Cricetulus griseus: one gene and its partners. The protein of the gene in region 2 binds, or shares a complex with, the protein of the main gene of each other region. Links are inferred from orthologs where the notes say so. Each region holds a gene or a part of one and is shown on either strand. Other genes may lie near its edges.

Region 1 (4,211 bases), on a different chromosome or scaffold from region 2:
AGGGGAGCTGCTGATGGGCTTTCTGGAATGAAGCAGGGTTTAGGGAGAGAGAGATGGGGGAGGGGGATTAAGGAGGAGCTTCCAGCAGAACAACAGTCTTAATTTCCTAACGCTGTTTACAGACATTGTTATGAGCCTGGTACTCCTATAAGCACTTCAAATATATAAATTTAGCTCTTAAAATCTTATAAAGATACTCCCTCCCGCCCCCCGTTTTACAGAAGATAATATACTTAGGTCGGGCACAGAAGTCCTGTAGCTTTCCTAGGTTAAATACAACTAGGGTTTTGTGAAACAACCTAATTTTCATCTCCGGAGTCTTGTTTTCCTGCTCATCTTGCATGTTAATATCAAATGGTAAGATTAGAACTACACAGATTCGCTCTAGAGTTCTTTCTTATCTCCTTCTACCCCATTTTTGAACATTTGATTCCTTTTACCTGTTGTCATGAATTTGTGGTAGGGGGTAGGAAGGTGAATATCGCATATCTTCTGTTTACTGTCCAGAAGTTTGTGGCAATTAGCACATCATTCACAGGTTCTCAGCCTTGCCCTTGTTTCCTCTATTTCTCTATCAGTCCTAAAGCCACAGATGAGAGCTGCTTCCATTAAGTCGGAAAAGCATACTGGAGGGCTTAGATGAGGAAAGGTGAAGTGTAGGGGCGAGACCTACTGGCCTTTCTCTGGGCAGTGACCTCGTTTAAGGCCCTTTCTTCTTGTCTGAGCGCCTTCGGTTTAAAATGGCGGGATTTGTGCTAAGGCTGTTTGCCTATTAGACCGCCATGATGGCTCGCCCTTCCCCCACCAGGCTCATCTGGCCGCTCTGGGGTTGCTGTTCCCGTACTGGGTGTCTGTCCTCCTTCTGGCATCTCCAGTTCCCCATGGCCAACCTCCCACCCTCACACCAACGCTCCACGCAGGGGCGAGACAAGGGGCTGCCATGTCTCCTGACCTCAGCCACAGCGCGGAGGCCCGGCTAGCGAGGCCCAGAGCCGGCAGCCCCGGCCTAGCAAACCCCGAGGCAGCGAGGGCGGCTGGGCGCTCGGAGCGCTCACAGTCACCCCGATCGTAGAGCTTAGGCTCGACCCGACCACGCAGGTCAACTGCCCCGCCTCAAGTCACGGAGGAGCACCCTTGAAGACCCCCGCCCTCAGACACTGCGCTTTTAGGAGAAGACACGGTCAGGTCTCTGCACAGCAGAGGGGGGGAACGTGCACGCAGACGGGAGGTGGAATCCGTACGCCTCGGCGCGCGCTGGTCACGTGGGCTGCGGCATCGCATGGCGGCGGCCCGCGCGCTCCCGCGGAGCGGCCGCGGAGCGGCCCGGGCGCGCGCGCCGACGGGGCGGGCGCATGCGCAGGGGGGCGCGCCGCCTCTGCCCCGCGGCGAGGGTGTCTATGGAGAGGCGGCGGCTGCGGCTGCTGAGGCGGACGCTGAAGCTGTGGCGATGGCTCCCTTCCCCGATGAAGTGGACGTCTTCACCGCCCCACACTGGCGGATGAAGCAGCTGGTGGGGCGCTACTGCGACAAGGTAACGGAGCGCGGGGCGGAGGGCGGCGCGGAGGAGCGGGCGGGTTCCGGGCGGCCTGGCCTGCGCGCCTCCCGCCGCCCCCGGGTTGGGGCCGTACGATCAGCCGCCTGCGCCCCGTCAGCCGCGCGCCTCCCGCACCTTCCCGCCCGGTCCCTGGGAAGCCCGCGCCGGCCGCGGCCTGGGACGTGCCTTCGGGGCGCGCGGCGCCTGCCCAGCGTCCTGCTCGCGGGTCTGGCCTGTGCGGGGGTGAGGGGCGCTCCCGGAGCCGCAGCCGCTGTCCCTTCAGGGTTGGAGAGACCCGGGTCGGTCGCCCGCGGGAGCTCCCGGTCCGCGTCCGCAGGCCGCTTCTGCGGTTGCTCGCCACCGCGGGACTGCCCGCCCGGCCCCTTCGGGCTCTTTGAGTCGCTTTGCAAACATTGCGTCCCCCGCCTGGACCTGTGACTTGCTTCCCGGCTCCATGGGCAGCGTCTTGAAGCCACCGGAGCGGGTTTATTTTCCCTGCCAGTGTCGCACTGGTTTGGTTCCGCACGCAGGGGCCGGGGAAGACCTGCACGCTACATTTCTGTTTACCTTTTTTCCTTCCAGCTTTTATTTTTCCCGAATATTTAGTCCTTGTTGATTTTGGTTTAAGACAGCTAGCTGTTCCTCTGTTGGCCTTAGGGAAAGTTGGTTTGCTGTGAAACTCGTTTTGGACTTTTAATTGATGTCGCCTAAATTGAATTACTTTTATGGAAATGAGTTGAAGGTCTTTTTCTAATGTTTCTTAAAATTCCCATTTGTCAGTTTATGTTTGGAAGGTCAAATATGTGTAAACTCTGGGCACGTCCTGTGTTTGGTAAGAATGAACCAAATAAATAGCTGTTAAGTAATTATTACTTAAACACAGACATAAGTTGAATTTTCAGAAATTACACAGAATTAGCACCATATTAACAGCAAGTAAGAGTTGGCCTACAACCCAGAGAACCCAGTGTCTTCATTGGTAGGTCACAGGAAGACCGGCAATTTGAAGTTTCAGATCTTAGCATTACTGTCCGACAACCCTTTCTCTATCTCCATTTTGGGAAAAGAAAAAACAAAACAACAAACAAACCCAGTCCGAGTCAGGTGTACCTTTAAACACACTGTTTAGATCATGGTTCTCCACTTCGTTGCTCTTTAAAATCCGACCCCATTCATATTGGATGTCTGAGCATGGAACCCAGATATCAAGTGTAATTTTGAGCTCTCAGGTGAGAGTGGGGTACAACGAGGGTGATTATCTCTTTTATCTAGGAGAAACTTAACGACTGGTTAACCCTTGAGCAGAAGAGTATAATCTTGCATTTTTCAGTTAGTGGTTTTGTTTTTATAATCTCCACTTTTTGGATTTTTTTTTCTCACACTATGCTTTAATTTCAGGCAAGGAAAAACTTTTCCCCCACTTTTCTTAAAAAGCAAAAGGGGAATTTAATGAGGACTGATTAAATCCAAGGCTTTACTCTGATTTTGTCGAGAGGGAGTCGAGAGACTCTCTGGTGATAATGGGAAATGTTGTCAGTTTGTACACTTCCATATGAGCTTTCTGGTATTTAAGATGTTTCAGGTTGCCAAAGGATTATGACCAATCCAGATTATCAAAATTTATAATGTACTACTCAGTCTCTTTAAAAACAATATTCTTTTGTTTTCCTACTTTTTTTGACACAGTTTTCTCCCCTAGTCCAGGCTGGCCTTGAGAATTCACTACATTGCACAGACTGGCCTTGAACTTCTGAGCTTCCTGCTTCCACCTTCCAGGTTCAAGAATTACAGGCATTTGTCACCCCACTGGGCACAGCCATTATTTTTGTGTCTCTTTTTGGTGTTTGAGAACATTTGAGCAAATTTTGGAAATGCAGTTGACTTAAATAAAATGAGTCAAATAAGATTCTTCTCAGTAGTTAAATGTTCCCTCTTGCATAGCCAGTTTAATAAAGCATGTTTAATTTGGTATAGTTTTATTTCAAATTGACTCTGATTTGTTCCCAGCATTGTATAGAAGTCATTAATTCTGAATTAATTGCATGTAGTTAATGAGATTATTGCTTATATTCCTCAAGAATACTAAAAGTTTCAGTTTTCTTAACTATGACCAAAGCAATTTAATGACGAAAAAAGAACTGCACAGTAATTTCCATCATTTTTTCTAGTTACCAATGACCAGTGGAAGGTTCTCTGGGTGTCCTTTGTGAGCAGAAGTGGGAAAATAACTTTTTTGATGGCAGACTAGCCTTAAAGAACTAAGAGTTGTTTTGGTTAGTTTGTCATTTCCAGGTTTGCCATTGTCATCTTTCTTTTAGTTGTATAGATCAAGGTTATCTGATCCAAATAACCTGCAGTAAAACTGCAAAATGAGAACTAGTTTTTGGTTAAAGCTAAAAACTACAAAGTATGTTATTTCACTGTATTCTTGATATTGACTGAGAATGTCCAGAAACCATAAAGATTTCAATTTTATTCCCAGTATTGAACTTGTAAAACACAGTATATTCACAAAATGATTTCTTTAGGATCATCAAATCAGTTTTTCTGTGCTTTGAGTAATTTACTTAGAGCGAATTATTAAGTTGTTACAGATTATGTTAAATATTTCTGTATAATAGTTTAATGTGTTGCCTGTGGATTTTCTTTATTAAAAAAAGTCATCCAAACAAAATGC
Region 2 (4,324 bases):
GAGTTCCAGCACTACACAGAGAAACCAGTCCTGTAATGCCCAATATTTGGAAGACTAAGGCCAGGAGGATAATAAATTCAAGGACTGCCCAGGTTATATAATGAGTTCAAGCCAGCCTGGGAGAACTCAGTAAGGGCCTGCTTCAAAACAAAATACCAAAGAGGCTGTGGATATAGCTCAGTAGTATAATTACCTAACACTGTCCTCTCCTCCTGTCCAAAAGGTGAGCCAGTAAATAAGTACATGCCATAATCCCAGCATTTAGGCAACCAGAAGGATCAGGAGTCCAAAGCCATCTTGACACATAGGAAGGAAGTATGAGGCTAGCCTGGGTTTCATGAGACCCTGTCTCAAAAACGGAACTCAACAGCCCAAATCTCCAAAAATCTCATGGACTCAGATAAAATATGAGCCATTAGGAAAAATATAATTCATATATAAAAAAGGTAGGAAACCGAAAACTCCTAACATGACTTGAATTTGAGGGAAAGTAAAAAAAAAAATCTAAAACTAAAAGCTCAAAGCAAGCCTGAAATTTCTTATCACCTTCAGATTTCTCCCACATTGCTCCAAAGAGGATTAATTCAAGACCTCTTTAAAATTCATATGCAACTTTTTTTTAGGGGTTGTTTGTTTTTTGAGAAGGGGTTCTTCTGTGTAGCCCTGGCAGTCCTGGAACTTGCTCTGTAGACAGAGCTAGTCTTAAACTCAGAGATCTACCTGCCTCTGCCTCCAGTGCAGAGACTAAAGGTGTGTACCAAGCTTGACTCACAAGCAACTGTTAAAGTCTGTGATTTTGAGGTAGACAATCCTCCAATGTTACTATCTACTAACTTAAGGTACCTCTGAAGCTTTCTGATCTAGGTTGTATTAAGAAACAATGTGAAGCCAGCACTCGGGAGGCAGAGGCAGGCGGATCTCTGTGAGTTCAAGGCCAGCCTGGTCTCCAGAGCGAGTGCCAGGATAGGCTCCAAAGCTACACAGAGAAACCCTGGGGGGAGGGGGGCGACAATGTGAATTTTCACAAAAGCCTGGTGTTTGGCATTTAAAATAATTACTTCGCCCATTTTACCCTCACACACTTAAGACTCGACATCTCTTAAAATTCTCTTAAATTCAGCTTTCCTCCGACACTTGTCCCCATGCCTCAAGCAAACAAGCTGGGGCAGGGGTGAGCTAAATCATTTTACAATCATCCACTAAAATACCCAGCTCTCCCTCACCCATGGTTTGAGAGAATCAGATTTCACTTTTCCACTCACAAACATGTCTGCTTCTCCATGTTTCTCAGTGCTTGCCAATAATGCAGAACAGAGAAGCCCAGAGCAGCAGACCCTCCCTATAATAAGGCAACAACACAGTTAACAGTGAAGGGAGGCTAGTTTTTCATAGCAAAACATTACCTTCTTTCTATAGTCCCCAGTACTGTAACGAACACTCCAGAACAAGTCTAACTACGTAGTTGATAGAATTACTTTAAAAGCAACATCATTCCATATTTCCTTGAAATAATCCACAATAAGTAAAGATGTGCTTAGTCATAGTAGAATTCAGGTATTAGGTTGCTTGTGCGGGAGCCAGGATCTTATTAAATGACAGGGAGACAATCGGTTAATCTGTAATTCAATGCACTCTGTAATCCTAGACTTAACTTTCGGTGTTGTGTTGGAATTAAGTGCAAAATTTTCAAGTAATAATGCATGAGATTTCGACCTGACATGCTTTCAAAAAAATAATAATAATAAAAAAAACCTTCAGTTTTCTAACTCCTGGACTTGGAAATTAAACAACCTAAAGAATTCTAGTACACCAGACTTAAAAAACAATCTGTTTTTAAGTGACTCGAAATTCTGACACTTGCTATTAGACTGCAGGATGGAAGGGGCTGCATTGTTCTATGCCACAGACACATTCTACTGTGACATTCGGAAGAAAAACTGCAAGTCCCCAAACCTGCGGACTCCATTAAAAAAAAAGTGAACCAAAGGGCAGATGTCACACTATCCCTTTAAAGAACCCAGGCATCTCAAGTTTAGGAGTCGGAAGCTCCTAAAAGACACACCTCAGAGGACGGGGTCTGCTATTACAGTAGCTAAGTTCAGAGACTGCAGGACACGACAAAACAACGCAAAGAAATATCGAGTCTGTACCTGCAGTTTCGGTGGTAGAAGAAGCGAGACCAAAAGGGAGCTAGTGGCGCCAGATACAGGCGAGGGAGCCAAAAATCGAGCAGACTAACAACGACCGCCACCACCTGGGCGGCCAACCCCCCCTCCCCCCAAAACGCAGAGCGCCGCCGCCACCTGTCCTGGAGCGCGGGGCAGCAAACCTATCGCCCAGGCAGGCCCGGGCCGAAGCCTGGGCCTTGCAGCCGCGTTCGAGCCTGACTGACGCCGCCCTCAGAGCAGGCTCGTCACAGGGCTCCGCTCACACTCCTCGGGCGAGCGCCGTGAGGACACGCGGCCCGCGGAGGCCTGACTCGGCCGCCTCGCGCCTTCCGCGGTCCAGAGTCGGCAACGGGCCCCACAGTGCCTCAGGCTACGCCAGGCCGAGTCGCCGCCGCCGCCGCCTCGTGCAGGCCATAGCCACCCCGGGGCTCCACCACCGCCCGCCCTCCAGGGACCACGTCCTGGCCCAGCTCGCGGGCGGCTACTCACGGTGCTCGGTCGAGGCTGACGAGCAGCACTCAGACACGACGAGAAATACCGAGGACAAGGCCACTACAGCAACGCCTCGCGGCGGCCGGCTTTTATAGGAGCGGGAAGCGGGCGCCGAGGCCCCCGAGCTCGTGACGTCACACAGCCGGCCGGGCTGGCCGTTGAGATCGCCTGACGGTAGGCGGAGGGCGGCGCGCCAGACCCTGAGCGCTGCAGAGGCCTGCGGGAGAGATGCTGAGGGACATCGGGTGGATGGGCGGCTAGGCAGAGGAGGGGCTTCCGCCTTTCTCCTCTGCCCTCGAGAGCGCCATGCTCTCCTTCAGTGCGGACGCCGGCAGCGGCTGAGGTACCAACGCGACCCTAAGGGTCTTTCAGGCAGGGGCTGTCTTGAACTGCATGAAAGACGCCAGCCCTGAAAAGCCTGGAAACAACAAACCGCAAAAGCGGCTTATGTGTGTTTCACTTAACAGATTCACCTCGTTACTCTCCTAATAACCCAAAGAGGTGAGGTTGTGTTTGCCCACCAGGAATTCGGGATTTGAACCTTACTCCACTGATGCTAATTTAAAAAAAAAAAAAAAAAATCTCACGGCATGTTGAGACCAGGTGTCACTTCAGGCCTAAGAACTTGGGATACTCCTGACTTAGCACACCCTGCCTGTTTGATTGTAAGAGTTTTTTGTTGTTGTTTTGTCTTGTCTTGATGAGACAGTGTCTCGTGTAGTACAGGGTGGCCACAAATTTACTATGTAAACCAAATTGCTCTAAAACCCCCTGCTCTGGGATTGCAGGCCTGAAGTGTTTTGTTTTGAGACCGGTCTTGCTATGTAGACCAGGCTGCCTACCCCCGAGTGACAGCACTGGGATTACAGTCATGCACTACCTTGTTGGATATTTTTAAACATTTATTTCCTACCCTCGACCTTTGAAGAGCCTTCCAGACCCCAAATAGCCATTGTGTTAACGAAGCTCCAAGCCTAGAAAATGAAAACATCGTAATATGTATAATGTGAGAATACATTCTTTGTGTAACCATGCACTCAACCCTGTAGGTGAGGCCAGTGCTGGGATCTAGTAGTGAACCAGGGCAGTCAAGCCCAGCCTGAACAGACTGTGCTGTGTGAGCAGCTCACAGAAGGCTGTGATAAGGTCGCTAGGATGAAACAGCTTTGCAGTAAAGAGGGAGAGGCCTAAAAGCACCCATCTGGCCTCACCCAAGTCAGGAACTGTGCAATTGGTGGCTCTGCCCTGCCCTGCTGTGTCTAGGGAGCATCACTGTCCCCACCAAGGCGCCTGGCTCACCTAGCCAGCAAGCACGTGATAGTATTCCAGACACCACAAAGACAAAAGGCACTTCCACACAGGGCCTCCTAAAGAAACCAGAGACTACAGTTTCTCTAGGACAAGACTGGGCAGAGAGGTCAAGCAATGGCTTGGGTTACCAGGTCTTTGTCTGCGGGCTATGGTATCCAGTGTCTGCCAGGTGCCACTGCTGATGACAGAAGATGAAAGGCCCACATTTCTCAGGCTTTCTCTCTGCAGCACTGCCTGCCCTTCACAGCTCCTGCTTTGGGCCTCCTAGGTAAGGGCCACTGGAGAGCCTTTCTTCCACATGGAGGGCATCTTAAGCAGTACTGGGCAGTGCTGGGTCATATAGCTAGCTTAAG
Region 3 (3,561 bases), on a different chromosome or scaffold from region 2:
AGATCCGCCTGCTGGGATTAAAGGTGTGTGCCACCAATGCCCAGCAAGAACCCTGTATCTTAAGGTCACCGTTTTACAAACAGGAACATCTGACAGTCTTGTCATTTACCCAAAGCCATACAACTAGTGAGAAGGGGAGCAGAGACTCAAACTCAGGAAGCTTGGTCTTAGAGCTTCTAGTCCCATTGGCTACGAGAGCAGATCATCTTTTCAAGAAGCAAATGGAATGAAGTGTGTAATGTAGAAAACACATGGAAGTGTTATTCAGGAAAAAAGGAAAAGACAGGGAGAGCAGAGTGACAATAATGAGTTGAGGGAAGAAACCACATTCCAGCTGAAACAGTGCAGTCAAGGTGGATTGCCTTAATTATTTAATCTGTTTTATGCTGTTCCAGGTTGAGCACAGGCCTGGAGTGGTTCGGGCAAGGTCTTTAACATTGGGTTATGCTCTAGCCCAAGTTTGGACATATGCAGCCGTACTGGCACTTGTCACAGCTATTTATTCAGTGTAGATCTGTTGACTACTTACCTTTCTTTCATCCTCTCTAGAGGTTCATAGGCACCTTGATCGACTTGACATTTAAGAACTCAAATATAGTTATCCTTGGGTGACTGACGAAATTGGAAAGTATCACTATAGGCTCTTTTCTAGTCACTTTCAGTATTGAGTACAACTCTTGAATCATATATCTGTGGTTTTCTTAGGTCATAAGTAGTGGTTGAAATCACCTCTCTCTATTTTTATATTCTCCTTGAATCATTGATTCAGTTCTGTGTGTATTTCTGTTAACTCTCCAAATGCAAATAGGTCTCAGTGACAGAAAATGAATTTGTGATTAAAAGCTAAGTAGGATGGGAAAAATGACGGATTTTTCTAAATAGGATGAAACGAGGAGGAAGAGATAGTGACCTTGACTCACCTGAAGAAGGCACTGCAGAGAAACGTAAGAAACTGAGGACTGCACATGAGTGTTCTCAACCTTGTGATTGGGGTAATCTGCTGCAGGACATTATTCTCCAGGTGTTTAAGTACTTGCCTCTGCTTGATCGGGCTCATGCTTCCCAAGTGTGCCGGAATTGGAATCAGGTGTTTCACATGCCTGACTTGTGGAGATGTTTTGAATTTGAGCTGAATCAGCCAGCTACATCTTACTTGAAAGCTACACATCCAGAGCTGATCAAACAGATTATTAAAAGGCATTCAAACCATCTGCAGTATGTCAGCTTCAAGGTAATACTTTAACTCCTTCTGTTAAAAATAAAGCATTTTTAGAGGCTTTAATGTTCTAACCAATACAACTTCTTATGTCTATAAAATATTTGACTCTATAGGGAAAGTGCTTAAAGTTTTGAAATTATTGCACACCTTAGAAGCCATTGCAAACATTTTTTAATATTCGATAGAACTAAAATACTCCTTTACAATTAATTACTTAAAAGAACAAAAGCAGTCACTAAGTGAGCATGAATTGACTGAAGTTTTAAGTTAACAGCGAATGGTTAACAACAAATTTGAGGAAAGAGCAATGTATCATTAACATTAAGGCAGTGGTTCTCAGTCTCTGGGTTTTGACCTCTTTGGGGGGGGGGTCATATCAGATATCCTGCTTATCGATACATACATTACAACTCATAACAGTATCAAAGTTACAGTTATGAAATAGCAATGAAATAATTTTATGGTTTGAGGTCACCACAACATGAGACAGTATTACAAAAGTTAGGAACCACTACATTGGGGAATGATTACTGAGCAGAACTTACTTGGCTATTTTATCTGCTTTTGTTTCATTTTGTTTTTCAAGACAGGGTCTCTTGGTGTAGCTCTGGCTGTCCTAGAACTCACTCTGTAGACCAGACTGGCCTCGAACTCTGAGATCTACCTGCCTCTGCCTTCGGAGTGCTGGGATTAAAGGCATTCGCCACCACCACCCAGCAAGTGTTTCTTATTTTGATATGTTTTCATTTTAAAAAAGAAAAAAAAAAAGCCCTAAATCTAAAGATGGTATAGAATCGAACTTTTCAACTTGAGTGTATTTTAGAGGGAAACGGAAGAGGGGGATTGCTTCATTTCAGTGTTACAAGGGGCGAGTAAGAGCACGTGTAATGGTGAGATGAGAGAGAGCATGTGTCATGCTGAGATGAGTGAAGGAAGGTGGTATTTGGAGATTTGAAGAGTGTTATATGAAATCATAGGAGCTTGTGTGAGAACAAGGGTTTATCATGTTGTATTTTGGGATGCTCACTGAATCCTTGATACTAAATTTTTCTTTAACAATTAGCGTTAAAAGATGAAAATGTGCCGGGCATGGTGACTCTCACATGTAACTTTAGGACTGGGGAGGCTGAGGCAAGAGAATCAACTATTTGAGGCCTCCCTGGGCTGTATATAGTAAGGCCTTCTCTCTTAAAAATGTTAAAAACAGCCGGGTAGTGGTGGCACACACCTTTAAGCCCAGCACTTGGGAGGCGGAGGCAGGCAGATCTCCATGAATTTGAGGTCAGCCTGGTCTACAAAGTGAATTCCAGGACAGCTAGGACTGTTATACAGAGAAACCCTGTCTTGAAAAACAAACAAACAAAAAAACGTTAAAAACAAAACCCAAAAAAGTAAAAGCATAGAATTGCCTGTCATTGCCTGACTTGCCTTTGTTTCCTGTTTGCTAAAGGAATTGGGTTAAATCTGTAGTAAGCAGTGGTCTTCACCTAGACCTTTATGCTGTTACTAAATACTATCTGTCTTCTGGTAAGATAGGAGAACTTGTAATAGAAGTGATTTGAGTAGATTGTAAAAGGTCCTTCTGTATAGTAGGCTGCCTGGGTCCTTGGTGTTTAGTCCTTATAGTCACTTACAGTCCAGTGATAGAGCTCAGGTACATCCAACTTATGGAACTCATTTGTACTTAAATTACTTTTTGTCAGGGATGTATTTTGCCATTTCTGATTTAGAAAGCAGGGACACAGCAGGGATTATTCTGGCCTCTCCTGATAATAGTTAAGTGGTCACTGTAAACTCAAGAAAACTTTAAGCCAAAACAGTGCTCCTCAGACTGTGCTCAGTAGCCTCACCAAGGCGGGTGTAAAGGCAGAGCTTGCGCCTCCCACTCACCGACTTTATAATTCAGATGGTTTGGTTTAGGATAAGAATTTGCTTGTATCCAGTATCCAGATCATTGTCATGTGGTTTGGGAACCTCATTTTGAGAGCTGTGATTAGTGCATTGTTTGCCCACATGATAGCAACTTAAGAGCTCCTTTGGCATGCAATAAAACACACATTTACTTGGGAATGAAAGTTACGGTATTTAACATTTGTAGTCTAGAGATAAACTAACTTTTACCCTTCAGGTGTGGGTGTTTGATTGTATTGTCCTTTACTTCGGGGAACTAAGCAGCAACCTCTATTTTGGTTCAGTTTATTTTGTGCTTGTTTAATTGGACACTCTTACTTTTCTCTAATGCATCTTTCAATTCAGAACACTGAGCAATGTCAGGTTATGTGGTTCATCTGAAAATTCTAAATGACATTAGTGTCTTCAGGTGTCCTGAAACGTAGACACTA
Region 4 (3,561 bases), on a different chromosome or scaffold from region 2:
CTGTATTTTCTGTATTTCATACCAATTGCTGAAAACTCTCTTTCCATGGATTTGGATGTTCATATTCTTCTGGATTAATTTGGTAGAATTTACCAGGTTCAGGATGCATCATAGGGCGGGTATATTCAAATACTTCCATATATAATCGTTTCCTGAAGGGAAAAAAGGAATTAAAGATTTTCTTATAAAATACTCTCTAGATTAATAAAATATTAAATATGTCATCTGAATGACCAAAATTTCAGTAAGGACAGATAAATTAAATAACAAAATAATAGAAATTAGTTAACTGATCAGTTCCTCAGACGGCACTGGCAGTGTAGGGCCTCTGTGTTGTCCAGGCTGGCTCCAAACTCCTGGGCTCAAGAGAGCCTCCTGCCTTACCCTTCTGAGTACCTGGGACCACAGATGTGTGCCACTATGCAGACAAAATACCTTTTTTTCCCCTCAAGACAGGGTCTCACGAAGTACCTCTAGCTGTCCTGGAACTCACTGTGTAGACCAGATTGGCCTAGAACTAAAGATCTACCGGCCTCTGCCTTCGAGTGTTGGGATTTAAGACATGTGTCACTACACCTGGCTAACAAAATATATTTTATGAAATTCTTAATTTAAAAAAGCCAGCAGTGGTGGCATGTACCCTTAATCCCAGTACTTGGGAGGCAGAGGAAGAGGCAGGTGGATCTTTGTCAATTTGAGGTCAGCCTGCTTTACAGTGTGAGTTCTAGGACAGCCAAAGCTGTTTCACAGAGAAACCCTGTCTCAAAACACCAAAAAGACCCTGACTACACACACTCTCCTCTCCTGCTCCATAAAACCCAAGCATAAAAGATAGCACACAGTTTCAATGCATTCATTACTAATGTTTGACGTATTTTTCTTCCAGTCTTTTTTACCTATACATTGTTCATTTTCTTTGATTAATCAGCATAAAACATGTTTTTTAAAAGGTTTTAATTATTTTTTTAAATCTCTGTGTGGGTTAGAGGAGTATGTACATGCCATGCTCATGTGAAGGTCAGAGACTACTTCTGGATCCAGACATCAAATGCAGGCTGTGAGGCTTGGTGGCAAGTGTCTTTCCCTTCTGAAAGGGTAACAAACCTTACTCTGCTCCGTTCACCTTTTGTTTCATGTTGGTTTCTTTTGGACAGAGTTTCAGGCAACCTCAACTTTCCTATGGAGCTGGGGAACTGAGTCTCTTGCCTCTACCATCCAAGCCCTAAGATTATAGGGGTGTACCAGACCTGACTTAAAACCCCTAACTTTGTCTAAAGTAAAATTCACGGCTAGCAGATTTATCTCAATCTTCTAACCAGCATCATACAGTTCACTCATTTCCCTCTTTTTGTAAAAGGTGTGTTTGCAGGACTTCTGGGAGGAGAGTGTGTGTGTGTGTGTGTGTGTGTGTGTGTGTGTGTGTGTGTGTGGTGCTGCTGGGAACCCAACCAGGCCCTCAGAAAGGGCAAGTGACCAATCCTAGTGCCAGACCTTACCTCGTTTCCTTACTGCTGGAAGGAGATCATTTCCACTTCCCTACTCATTACTTACATGTGGTTATGAAAAACTGTGCAAAAAGTGAAAACATTTTCATAAATACAATGACTAGGCTAAAGGGAATGTGTATTTAAAGTTATAAATATAAGCCAGGTGGTGGTGGCACACACGCCTTTAATCCCAGCACTGGGGAGGCAGAGGCAGGTGGATCTCTGTGAGTTCAAGACCAGCCTGGTCTATAAGAGCTAGTACCAGAAGAGGCTCCAAAACCACAGAGAAACCCTGTCTTGAAAAACAAACAAAAAAAGTTATAACTATAACTATTTTTCAGGTATGTATAACGTAACATATATACTCACTGAACTACTAGGTCTAAAGAACTATTTTAAAATTACACTTGGCTGATTCCTCTCCCCCTGCCCTATTTATTCCCAGACAAGAGCTTTTCTGTATAATGGAATTCATGCTGGAGAGCAGGTTGGCTTGGCTTCAAACTCTCAGAGATCTGTCTGCCTCTGACTCCTGAATGCTGGTATCAAAAGCATACAACACTATACACCACTATCACCCAGCCAAATTTTTTTTTTTTTTTTTTTTTTTTTTACTTTGTTTTTGAGACAAGGTCTCATATGTAGCCCAGGCTGGTATTCTTTTTGTAAACCAAACAAACTGACTTTGAACTCTGTCTGTCTCTGCTGGGATTGGGATTAAAGGTTTGGTGCCACCAGCCCAATTAGCCCTGCTTTCAAAAAATGAGGCCCTTGAGGAGCCTGTACCAACACTTGGGCATATCTTTACATGACTCATATCCATGTTCCTGGTGTGCCCTACTTTCTTCCGAGCATCTCTTTCTTTCCTCTCTCCCTCTCCCTCTCTCCTTCTTTCTTCTCCCTCTCTGAGACAGGGCTTCTCTATGTAGCCTTGGCTATCCTGGAACTAACTCTGTAGACCAGGCTGGGTGGGTGGTTGTACACATGCCTCTGATCCCAGCACTTGGGAGGCAAATGCAGAGGCAGACAGATTTCAGGAGTTCAAGGGCAGCCTCGGCTACACAAGATTCTGTCTTCAACACCACACCAGACTGCACAAATAAAACATTTCTTCCCAAATCACTCAGCTGTTAAATCAACTTATAAACAGCCGAAACCATTTCAATTACTGGTTTATAAACATTTCTTGAGTTGACAAGTTCTCCACATTTATGATAATCAGGTAACAGAGTCTATAAACATTTTAATTTTTCTTTTAACTACTTAGCTCTAACTAGAAACTCACACTTCAACTTCCCTACATTTTGGCATTTTAGGCATCACATACTGTATTTCAAGATAACAAGGAGGTTTACACTTACCACAAAATTGGATCATTAGCAAGTTCACTGAAGCGTTTACACACACAAGCGGCTCTACAAAGATCCTGTTCCAGCAAGTAAGAGAAAATTTTTAAAACTACTTCATCTGGCAGTTTCTCCTGAAGATACTGTTCAGCAGGTGCTGCTAAAAAAAGATTAACAAAGTGTAAGCAATGTATTTACCAAGCAATGGTTTCCTTATTAAAGAATAATTTCTATTTTTTGATGAGTTCTATTTTCCTTTTATCTTACATATATTCGTGCGCCCATGCGCCCCCTCCACCCCAACACACAGGGGTTTTTGTTTGTTTTATGTTTAAGGCAGTCTTGAAAAGTTTCCTAAGCTGGCCTTCAACTCACTAACTTAGGGAGGCACTAATTTTCCAACCCTCTAACCCTGCTCATGCCCTTATTAGCCTCCCAAGTAGCTCCGCTTTATGGCTCTACCATCTGGCCTGGCTACTTAAAAAAAAAAAAAAAAAAAAAAGACTTTTATATGAAAATAAGGCAGGAGTTGGCACTGCTCTTGCAGGGGACCTGTGCTTGGTTTTCAGCACCCATAACCAGAAACTCAAAACCTCCTGTAAACCCAGGTCCAGGAAACCCAATGCCTTCTTCTAGCCTATTCAGGCAATTGTAATTAATACCCTCTCCACAGAAACACATACACCCATAATTAAAAATAAAAAATAAGTCTTAAAAAAATTCAAGGA

The links.
Region 1: the proteins of Skp1 (region 2) and Fbxl5 are in contact, whole or in part, in a cryo-EM structure (PDB 6VCD), measured with the Homo sapiens proteins. The link is inferred for Cricetulus griseus from reciprocal best matches to the Homo sapiens genes SKP1 and FBXL5. Residues at the interface, in NP_733779.1 of Homo sapiens: Phe101, Ile104, Leu105, Asn108, Leu116, Asp117, Cys120, Lys121, Val123, Ala124, Ile127, Lys128, Gly129, Lys130, Pro132, Ile135, Arg136, Phe139, Ile141, Asp144, Phe145, Glu149, Val153, Arg154, Glu156, Asn157, Gln158, Trp159, Cys160; in NP_036293.1 of Homo sapiens: Ile205, His207, Leu208, Pro209, Val212, Ser215, Ile216, Tyr219, Leu220, Gln223, Glu224, Cys226, Arg227, Cys228, Ser229, Gln230, Val231, Ser232, Met233, Trp235, Ser236, Lys240, Trp245, Arg315, Leu316, Gly319, Leu320, Asn323, Val324, Tyr327.
Region 3: the proteins of Skp1 (region 2) and Fbxl3 are in contact, whole or in part, in a crystal structure (PDB 4I6J), measured with the Homo sapiens proteins. The link is inferred for Cricetulus griseus from reciprocal best matches to the Homo sapiens genes SKP1 and FBXL3. Residues at the interface, in NP_733779.1 of Homo sapiens: Gln97, Leu100, Phe101, Ile104, Leu105, Asn108, Leu116, Asp117, Cys120, Lys121, Val123, Ala124, Ile127, Lys128, Gly129, Lys130, Pro132, Ile135, Arg136, Phe139, Ile141, Lys142, Asn143, Asp144, Phe145, Thr146, Glu149, Glu150, Val153, Arg154; in NP_036290.1 of Homo sapiens: Asp35, Trp36, Gly37, Leu39, Leu40, Ile43, Gln46, Val47, Tyr50, Leu51, Leu53, Leu54, Asp55, Ala57, His58, Ala59, Ser60, Gln61, Val62, Cys63, Arg64, Trp66, Asn67, Phe70, Glu82, Lys92, Ala93, Thr94, His95, Glu97.
Region 4: Skp1 (region 2) and Fbxo11 share a complex: the UniProt entries of both Homo sapiens proteins name them as parts of the SCF(FBXO11) complex. The link is inferred for Cricetulus griseus from reciprocal best matches to the Homo sapiens genes SKP1 and FBXO11.

What each region holds. Positions count from the first base shown.
Region 1 is NW_023276807.1:112,389,036-112,393,246, reverse strand, and holds the start of Fbxl5 (F-box/LRR-repeat protein 5), read left to right. Parts: upstream 1-1,359; 5' UTR 1,360-1,447; coding exon 1,448-1,531; intron 1,532-4,211.
Region 2 is NC_048600.1:66,399,220-66,403,543, reverse strand, and holds the start of Skp1 (S-phase kinase-associated protein 1), read right to left. Parts: upstream 2,812-4,324; 5' UTR 2,658-2,811; intron 1,556-2,657; exon of another isoform or gene 1,404-1,555; intron 1-1,403. UniProt on the Homo sapiens protein: Essential component of the SCF (SKP1-CUL1-F-box protein) ubiquitin ligase complex, which mediates the ubiquitination of proteins involved in cell cycle progression, signal transduction and transcription.
Region 3 is NW_023276807.1:254,746,674-254,750,234, reverse strand, and holds part of Fbxl3 (F-box/LRR-repeat protein 3), read left to right. Parts: intron 1-882; 5' UTR 883-883; coding exon 884-1,231; intron 1,232-3,561. UniProt on the Homo sapiens protein: Substrate-recognition component of the SCF(FBXL3) E3 ubiquitin ligase complex involved in circadian rhythm function. Plays a key role in the maintenance of both the speed and the robustness of the circadian clock oscillation.
Region 4 is NC_048598.1:89,623,490-89,627,050, forward strand, and holds part of Fbxo11 (F-box only protein 11), read right to left. Parts: intron 2,994-3,561; coding exon 2,849-2,993; intron 153-2,848; coding exon 23-152; intron 1-22. UniProt on the Homo sapiens protein: Substrate recognition component of a SCF (SKP1-CUL1-F-box protein) E3 ubiquitin-protein ligase complex which mediates the ubiquitination and subsequent proteasomal degradation of target proteins, such as DTL/CDT2, BCL6, SNAI1 and PRDM1/BLIMP1.